Linked DNA regions of Saccharomyces cerevisiae S288C. The gene in region 3 interacts genetically with the main gene of each other region. Each region holds a gene or a part of one and is shown on either strand. Other genes may lie near its edges.

Evidence for each region.
Region 1: mutations in ATP10 (region 3) and ATP23 together harm fitness less than expected from each alone (positive genetic interaction), as found in Saccharomyces cerevisiae (3 studies listed by BioGRID, with this or other methods).
Region 2: mutations in ATP10 (region 3) and COX7 together harm fitness more than expected from each alone (negative genetic interaction), as found in Saccharomyces cerevisiae (2 studies listed by BioGRID).

What each region holds. Positions count from the first base shown.
Region 1 is NC_001146.8:666,910-669,857, forward strand, and holds ATP23 (putative metalloprotease), read right to left. Parts: upstream 1,314-2,948; coding exon 501-1,313; downstream 1-500. Other genes in the region: ARE2 (sterol acyltransferase), read left to right, coding at 1-358; YNR021W (uncharacterized protein), read left to right, coding at 1,468-2,682; mitochondrial 54S ribosomal protein bL9m MRPL50, read right to left, coding at 2,865-2,948. UniProt on the Saccharomyces cerevisiae protein: Has a dual role in the assembly of mitochondrial ATPase. Acts as a protease that removes the N-terminal 10 residues of mitochondrial ATPase CF(0) subunit 6 (ATP6) at the intermembrane space side.
Region 2 is NC_001145.3:778,445-780,956, reverse strand, and holds COX7 (cytochrome c oxidase subunit VII), read left to right. Parts: upstream 1-1,829; coding exon 1,830-2,012; downstream 2,013-2,512. Other genes in the region: PET111 (Pet111p), read left to right, coding at 1-1,328; GFD1 (Gfd1p), read right to left, coding at 2,390-2,512. UniProt on the Saccharomyces cerevisiae protein: Component of the cytochrome c oxidase, the last enzyme in the mitochondrial electron transport chain which drives oxidative phosphorylation.
Region 3 is NC_001144.5:905,271-908,418, forward strand, and holds ATP10 (Atp10p), read left to right. Parts: upstream 1-1,808; coding exon 1,809-2,648; downstream 2,649-3,148. Other genes in the region: ART10 (Art10p), read right to left, coding at 1-1,035; SUMO ligase CST9, read left to right, coding at 2,680-3,148. UniProt on the Saccharomyces cerevisiae protein: Essential for the assembly of the mitochondrial F1-F0 complex.

The sequences.
Region 1 (2,948 bases), on a different chromosome or scaffold from region 3:
CGGTGACTGGTGGAATTGTGTTAGTTGGGCAGACTTCAGTAGAATTTGGAACATCCCAGTGCATAAGTTTTTGTTAAGACATGTTTACCATAGTTCAATGAGTTCATTCAAATTGAACAAGAGTCAAGCAACTTTGATGACCTTTTTCTTAAGTTCCGTCGTTCATGAATTAGCAATGTACGTTATCTTCAAGAAATTGAGGTTTTACTTGTTCTTCTTCCAAATGCTGCAAATGCCATTAGTAGCTTTAACAAATACTAAATTCATGAGGAACAGAACCATAATCGGAAATGTTATTTTCTGGCTCGGTATCTGCATGGGACCAAGTGTCATGTGTACGTTGTACTTGACATTCTAAGGCATCCTGCAACTGTTCTGTGGAGCTATTAAATCTTTATAGTAAATTTTTTTTTACTTTTTTTTTTTTTTTTTTTTTTTTTTATTATTTACAAGCGTCTATATATTTTCTATTATAGAATATTGTCATTTATTACATTGGTTCATCTGTAAATCTCATCAAACGGTCTCGTATCGGCGAAGCAACTGTCCCAAACTTCATCTACAATTTTTGCTGCATGTTCTTTGCTTTGGCAGTTGGGGTTCCCCGAAACACTAATTATTGCCCTCCTTCTAACACAATCTTGGTGTCCCCTTGCCACATGGAATCCTGTCCTAAACCCTCTTCTCTTGAACTCTTCCCAAAACCTGCATTCCCCACTTAACGAAGAGGCTCTGATTTCAGAACATGCATGATGCTTCAGATTTAACCAATCTATTTGCCATTTTAGATCATCGAAATAATGAATTAATTCATGCGAAAGCGTATCCTCTAAATGCCACTTATCACGTAACCTGTTCTGGCACAATAGGATTCCCAATTCAGGATGAAAGCCACCGCCCTTCCAGTCGGGACAGTAATCGCAGATGATCTTCGAATCGTCGAATTTACTGTCGCTACCCTTATTAAGTTTCGTAATAGCTTGTACCATAAAGCGAACTGTGGGAGAGTATTTAAGCATCCAATCTCGATACTCATAACATTTCAGACATTCCTTTTTTAGTTCTCGAGCTTTAGAGTCGTCTTCGTATCGAGTTTTCTCCTCCGGTGTCAAGCCTATACCAGTCTTGTACTGCATGGTCCGTCTCCACCACTCAAACCCAGCATTATCCCCACTGCTATTCATATCGTGCCAAAAAAAAAAAAAATTCGGTACTATCAGCTTTCCTTGGTTTTGGTTGTACAAATTATGCCTTACTCTTCTGATCATTTTGATATTAGAACTCTTATTTTTCTTATTTGTTCGCATCGTCATAAATGATAATTGGCGAAAACGCGCCAAAAAGTGAAAAAGTGAGAACTACTTGAAAAAAAAAAGTTTGATATTATAGGTATTATTGCTCAAATAGGTACGATATTGTTGTAGGCATAAAAATTAGATTAGCAGAACCCTTTTCCATTTCATTAACATGTCTAGTTCAATATTTGGCCCACTTACGGGTTTTTTGGAGCGTGTCAATTCACTCAATGCGCCCTACCAAGCATTATCATATGACGAACAAAAGGCCATGACTATTTGGCAAAGAGTCAAATTCTACAACTGGACTTTTGAATTGTGTGCTCTAGGTGTGTTGTTCTTGGTTTATGCTTTCTACAAATTTGGTAACTCCGTTAATTTGAAGCGCGGAAATCAGATTTTCCAATCTTTGCATTCATTTTTGGCCAACGACTTAAAGTTCTCCCGTGTAGGGTTCAATATCAATGATTCCAAAATCTTTACAGTGGAACACCAAAATACATGGTTCTCTTCTTTTGCTACCGGTAGATCCGCCATCAAGAGCATCAACCTAAACCTTCATCTGGTAGCCCGTAGCAACCCTTTCTCTATGTGTCTAGAGTACCTGCTTGGATTTTTTTTTGCAAGTTTGAAAAGTAAGCAATTGGAAGAATTTATGGAGATCGTGATCAGGCCAAATGGTATTTTAGTTACTAGTGAATCTGCTCATCCTAACAAGAATGCGCATGAAATTTTGACCAAATTTAGATTTGTCACTTCTATTGTTAACAAAGAATTCATGAATCAAGCTAGAACTGAAAACTATTTCCTGTCTATTGCACACACTAGTGAAAACGATAAACTACCAAATAACTTCGTCTACATGTCCGATGTTAATCAATTATCAGGGTTCATGTTTCATTACTCCAAGCCCTATGAGGTTTTGTCCCAAGCTGGTAATCTTTTGAAATATATAAGTTTCACCGATTTGCCTGTCAACCCGCCACGCGATGATAAAGAATGGGAATCTTCAATTGAACCAAAGGCTATCATTCGTTGCGCTGTTCCCCAAAATGAGAATGAATTGAAGTTGTTAAACCAAATTATTTCCTTAGTCGTAGAAATCTACGATGGGTTCACTCAAGATTTAGTCCAACAGTCTCCAAACTTATTCATTACCAACGACATCTTGAAAAGAACTACCAACTTGCGTCAGCAAGAACTGAACAAGATCAAAAAGTTTATGAAAGAAACTGAATTGGAATTGGCAAAGGAGAAGAAATTAGAATTGGAAAAAGCCAAAAGACGTCAATTGAAGGCCTCTGGTCAACAAGAAAAGGTAGATCAAAAAATGAAAGAGAAAAGAGAAAGACGTCTCAAAAACAAGCAAAGAACAAGATTTCAGTAAGAACCACTTTGTTCTTCTTTCCTCCTTATAATTTTCTGAACCTCTTCAGTTTTTGTATACGAACGTTTTCCATGTATCCATACATTTAAATAGTAAGTATGTAAATTGGTATGTGGTGTTTTGAATTGCGATGTTGCCTATATACAAGATTGTACGCTATCTGAATACATACTCTTTACCAATCAAATGTCAAGACCGGGGATCTTAACCTCTTCGATAGTAATCCCAGAATCCAATAATCCCTTCTTTTCCTCTTTTGGCTTCTC
Region 2 (2,512 bases), on a different chromosome or scaffold from region 3:
AATTTATTACCAGACTTAATAATAATATTTCAACACGAAAAGAGCTATATATGTCAGTGGTTCAAGCGTACGTCTCTACTAACAATTTCGAGAATTTAAAAGTAATCTTGGAAAAAATCCAGAGAGATAATGATATTAGCATAGACGGTTCGTTTCATTTGTGCATTTCTAGGTATTTTGTCAACACCAATCAATTCGAAGGACTTTTCAAATATTATCGCAGTGTAGTTAAAACCACTGATGGTAAAACGCGATTACGGCCCGCATTTATTCAACAATTATGGTCATGTGCCGTAAATGTTTATCCAATGCTGGCAAAAGAAATTACAAATGACCTACTTGTGACTCTAAAAAGGAGCCAATACAGCAAATGTCTCACTTGGGTGTACACATTTTTACAAGAAAATGCCCATATCCATACGAGAAAGATCAATGGAGGAGAAGACTCTTCGTTATCTGGTTTCAACGCGGTTGATTTTGAAAGGTTTGAAGAGTTCAAGAAAAAAGTTTCTCACAATGATGTATATGGAGCAGAATTGGTGATTTCGAATAGTTTGAAGGAGGGCATTGCGCCTCAATTTTCATTTTTGTATTCCGTTTTGGCATTATGCTTGAGAAACTCTTTAACTGGTTTGGCACGTGTAGTTGATGTGATATTAAGGACCAGATTCCGCTATATCCCACTAAAAGTCGATATATTATGGTTGAAATGGGAGATCATTTCTAATTATAGATCTTTTGAAAAGTTGTCTGCTGAACATTTAAAAGAACTGGAATTCAAACTGAAGGAATTTGAACGAGTACATCAAAAGGAGCTTTCAGTTCAAAACTATTTACAACTTACTCAAATATGTTTCCACACCCGTGATTTCAAATATGCATGTTACCTAATTTCACAAGCTAGAAAAAATTTGGATACTTCAAATAACAAACAGTGGATGATGTATTACATGACATCTTTAAAGTTGGCGTCAAGAATGCATGAAAGCGAACGGTTTAGTAGGATTTTAAAAGACTGGAATTGTAATCATAGGGCAAGCCTGATTACTCCAGGTTGCATTAGACAAATCAAAGGCTTTATGAAATATTTTGAGAAAAGGCCTGCTTACATTTCAACTGCTGCTTCCATTGATAACAAGGAGATAAAGGATCGCATTGACGAGTTAGTACTTAGATATGTGGACTATAAATACCAGGGGCTTGAGAATATGAGAAAGTTAACACTTTTCTTAAAAGAATGGTTTGATGAAGAGATTTCACTATTAAAGTTGGAGCAAAATGAAAGGAAAATGAAGCTTTTTGAAGAGAATAAAAAGGAGGAGGAGTAATCTTTTCAGTTATTTACCTTCCTTTCTCTCACGTGTAAATATTTGTGTGTCATACACACCGCTAAAAACCTTTGCATCAACTTATACCCTACATTTCTATAGACGCTATTTGGAAACAAGATGTAACCCTTTTTTTCTTTTAGTTTTGAGATTTGTACTCGTAAAGAGTACGTTTATTTATTTATTCAAATTTTATTCTTCATACCATGTAAATATAAGCGCATATAATCACTACGATCTTAGTACAGCTAGAATTGCTGACGCTTACAATTGCTTTATTGTTTGATTATATGCACGTATACATATAGTGTCAGCAAAAAAAAAAAAAGGCAGTACTTGATTGGCTACGCCGCGCATCGTCCGAGAAATCCGGCCTGGTAGGGGCAGGTTTGAAAAGGCGGATAGAAATAAAAGATGATATTATTTATTCATCCCATGAATAGTAGAACTCGATATAAGATTCTAAACCAACAAGTACAGAAAGCAAAACAATAATAAATAATGGCTAATAAAGTTATTCAACTACAGAAAATCTTCCAATCTTCCACTAAACCTCTATGGTGGAGACATCCAAGGTCAGCTTTATACCTGTATCCATTTTATGCTATTTTTGCGGTAGCCGTCGTTACACCACTTCTATACATTCCAAATGCTATTAGAGGTATCAAAGCCAAGAAGGCATAGTTAGGTAAAAATAACATCCGTTCATAGCATCTTTATAATTGTTCTTTGATATTAAGTGTGTATGCTCAATACACATCACCCAAAACATTTTTATTCGAAATAAGATGAAAGCCATTTATTTATATATACATATATAATATTCTAAAGAATAAGGAAACAACTAATCGAACTAGCATAGCCTTTTCCATCTTTGTTTTCTTGCGCAGTAATAAATCGTTTCAGTTAGGCCTGGCAATAAAGATTTGCTAATCATTGAAAAAGGTGTGATTGATTTTCTCACTTGAAGTATGTCTAGTATTTATTAAACAATTATAATGGTGTAAACTAATGTCTCTTCAAGCAAAACGTGCTTAAAAGTGTCCATGTGATGGGAGGGATCATATTTTCAAAGAGGTCTTCAAACGTTGAAGGATAAGCTCCTCTTCATCATCGTCAACCCAGTTGGAGCTCCCTTCATCGTTCAGAAAATCCATCAACACTTGTTGCTGTTGATTCTTGTG
Region 3 (3,148 bases):
ATTTTGGCTGCCAGACCTAAACAAGTAGTCTTTCCTGTATATTTGCTTCAAATCTCGACTTCTAACCTCTATTCTCATATTGCTTTCCCCATCAGGCAACCCCATTTTATAAGTAGATGGGAAAACTTTCATACCATTTACTAGGCGAGTAGATTGTCTTGTTGATGTGACTGATGATACCGGTCTCGATCTAATGTCGCCGTTTTCTATCAATATAGAATTAGCTTGAGAAAAGTTCCTGTCACTTTTTATATATCCGACTCCATTAACGACTTTGACGTCCTTTGATGGCACCTTTAAATTTGAACTATTGAAAAATTCATTGTTGGTGACCATACTATTTCCTCTACTATTGTTACTGAAGGCATTAAGTTCTTCATTGTCATCTTCATCAGGTTCTATAATAAGATCTTTTGGCTCAGGTATAAATTCGAACGTCTCGATTTCCCTTATCAGTTTATGGAATGGCTTAAACCAAGATGAAGATTTCCCTAGCTCTAATTGAACTTGCACCATATATATAACTTTTCCAAAAGAGTAAAAATACAAATCCAGATTATCGATTTTATTAAATTCTTGCCAATGACTATTGAACGTAGGTGGGAGTCGGGCATTACTTCTTGTCACAAACGCTACTGTCTTTGCCGTATGATTTTTCAGACATTCAGGCTTTCTGGGAAACTTGTCAAATTGAAAGCTATAATTATATGAACCTGGTTTAACTTTGAACGGCTTGGAGGAGCCATCAAGAGCATTCCATACATTATCTGGAGGGAAAACTCTCTGTTCGAATTTCATTAATGTATGAAAGGATTTGTTGTCTTGGCCCGGCATCATCATGCCATTCTGTTGAAACATGTACTCTTGATCAATTTTTGTTAAGGTCTCTGAGAATCCTTTTAGAATGACGGAAATTTTCCTTATAGATAGCGCTTTTGTTAACTGAAGACTAACTATCCCTGACATTTGATCATTAGAGCTATAAAACTCCCCGTTGTACGGTGGGTTTAAGGATATTGAAATTTTTGGAGCCATGGTTTGACAAACTGTATGGTTCTCAACCTTCTCTAATCAAAAGCAGAATCTTAAATATAAACACTCACAGAATATCCGTTGGTCAATGAAGTAATTCTCCTTTGTACTGGCTGCTTTTTCTCCTCTAGTTTATGTAATTCTACTTTTGGATGGGTGCGACTGCTTTTAATTGATTGAGTGGCGGTGTTAGAAGGGCTGTAGAGTCGAAGGCTTGTTTCTCTCTTACGCACCTCTTGTGAAAAGGGCGTGCACCTTCCCCAGGACCCTCTCTCACCCTCAACCCGCATTTTGCTGAGAATTTTCACCAAGGCCCTAGGTGATATTAGATTCCACCTGACTAATTGCATTACAGCCGACCCAAGGCAATATCAGTTTAATAAAATATCATGTATCTCACCCTCTTCTTGGTATTAGTAAAGAGACGCCTGATCTTGTAACAGTGGTGAAGATTGTACTAGAGCAGAATCAAGAATTTAAAAAGTGTAAAGGCAAGGCAGAGGCGATGTACATAAAACTTCGAAGTAAGAAATATTTAATAGTTCTCGCCACATCACTATGCAGCTATATAAAAACTACTATAAACGTTTGTTTTGTTCCTTACGCACAATATCCTTGCCTAGAAATCGTTTTTGAAATTTAAATTTTTATTACCATTTATTTGATTCGCCTTCAGAAAAATATGGAAGAGTGCATATTTAAAAAGGACTATTTCAGCATATAGTAAAAGTCAGGTTATTTGTTTATTTGCGATATCAGAGTAACTTAAACTAACTATGCAGGGCACTTTTAAAAGGTTTTACCATCCCACGCTTACGCGGATGTCCTTCTTGGATAAATTCCTCAAGCCTATGATGGCAACGGCTTCCCCAAAGGAATACCAGATCAAACAACTGGTCAAGCCAATAGGCTTAACACAAGCACCAAGGAAAAGCACCAAATACTCCCAGGGGAACTCTTTGAGGGATATGTTTGATTCGGAAAAGACAAACCACAGAGTTAAAGAGTTGGCCGTTGAATTCAGCAAATCTGGACTTTATGACGTGCAAGTCTTCCAAAAGACAAAGGGGAAATTGTTTATAGCTCCAGTTTCATATTGGAAAGAAGATAAAGCTTTGTTTTTTCCTCATTTGATAGGAACGGCAATGGATGGTACGAAACAACAGAATATCGAGGATATGTTAAGGGGTAAAACCAGTATAGTGAGGTTATTTAGTACAGCATCTGGCGATAAGTTGAGTAGTTCATACTTCCAAGGAATCGTAGACGATAACAAAAAAACTGACTACTTGACTGAAGCTGATGCGCGTTTAAGTTTAAATGACAGTAACGTCCAAATCATCGAGGTCAATCTTGTAGAAAACGCTGTGAAAAGTGCTCTAGTGAAAACGCTTGCTCGTTGGGCCAATCGCGTTCCATCCTGGCGCCAGCCATTTTATTTCGAATGTTCTAGAGGCCAATGGCCATTTTCCGTCAGGGAAGAGCTCTTTTGCAATAATGTCTTTTCTGGATACGTCTTTCTTGTGGACCAGCAGTTAAAAATTAGGTGGGCAGCTTGCGGGGAGGCTACTCCATCTGAAAAGGAAGCATTGTGGAAGTTTGCCAAACGTCTGTGAAGTTGACGCTTTGTGCGGCGGCCAACAAGGGATGGGCGGCTATTTGGCGATCGTGTTCATTCCCCAAACTAACACGAAGAGCATGAGAGAGAAAAAACAAAAGTGCTTGAAACAGGTAAGACGTTTATCATTGATATCACCAAAGAAATATATAATGCCGGATTCTATTTTTGAACAGCCCTTTGTTTACTGTGGTGTTTGCCACAGAAGAACATCGCATGGAGATCCATTGAGGCTGACCTCATGTGCTCATATCCTCTGTTCGCAGCATTCTCCATTAACATCAAAGGTGTGTCCTATATGCCGTTCGAGCGATATCTCCATCATTAACCTTGTGGAATCTAAACAGCTGCCTACCGACATTAGGATTTTTTTTGAGCCACTGCCCCCACTTTTGGAGTCGTTATATAATGTTTCCCAATTCCAACTGAATGGGCTTTCGAAACAGTGTCAATACTATCAAAATCATTGTTTAAAGTTGAGAGAAAAATGTGCAAGAC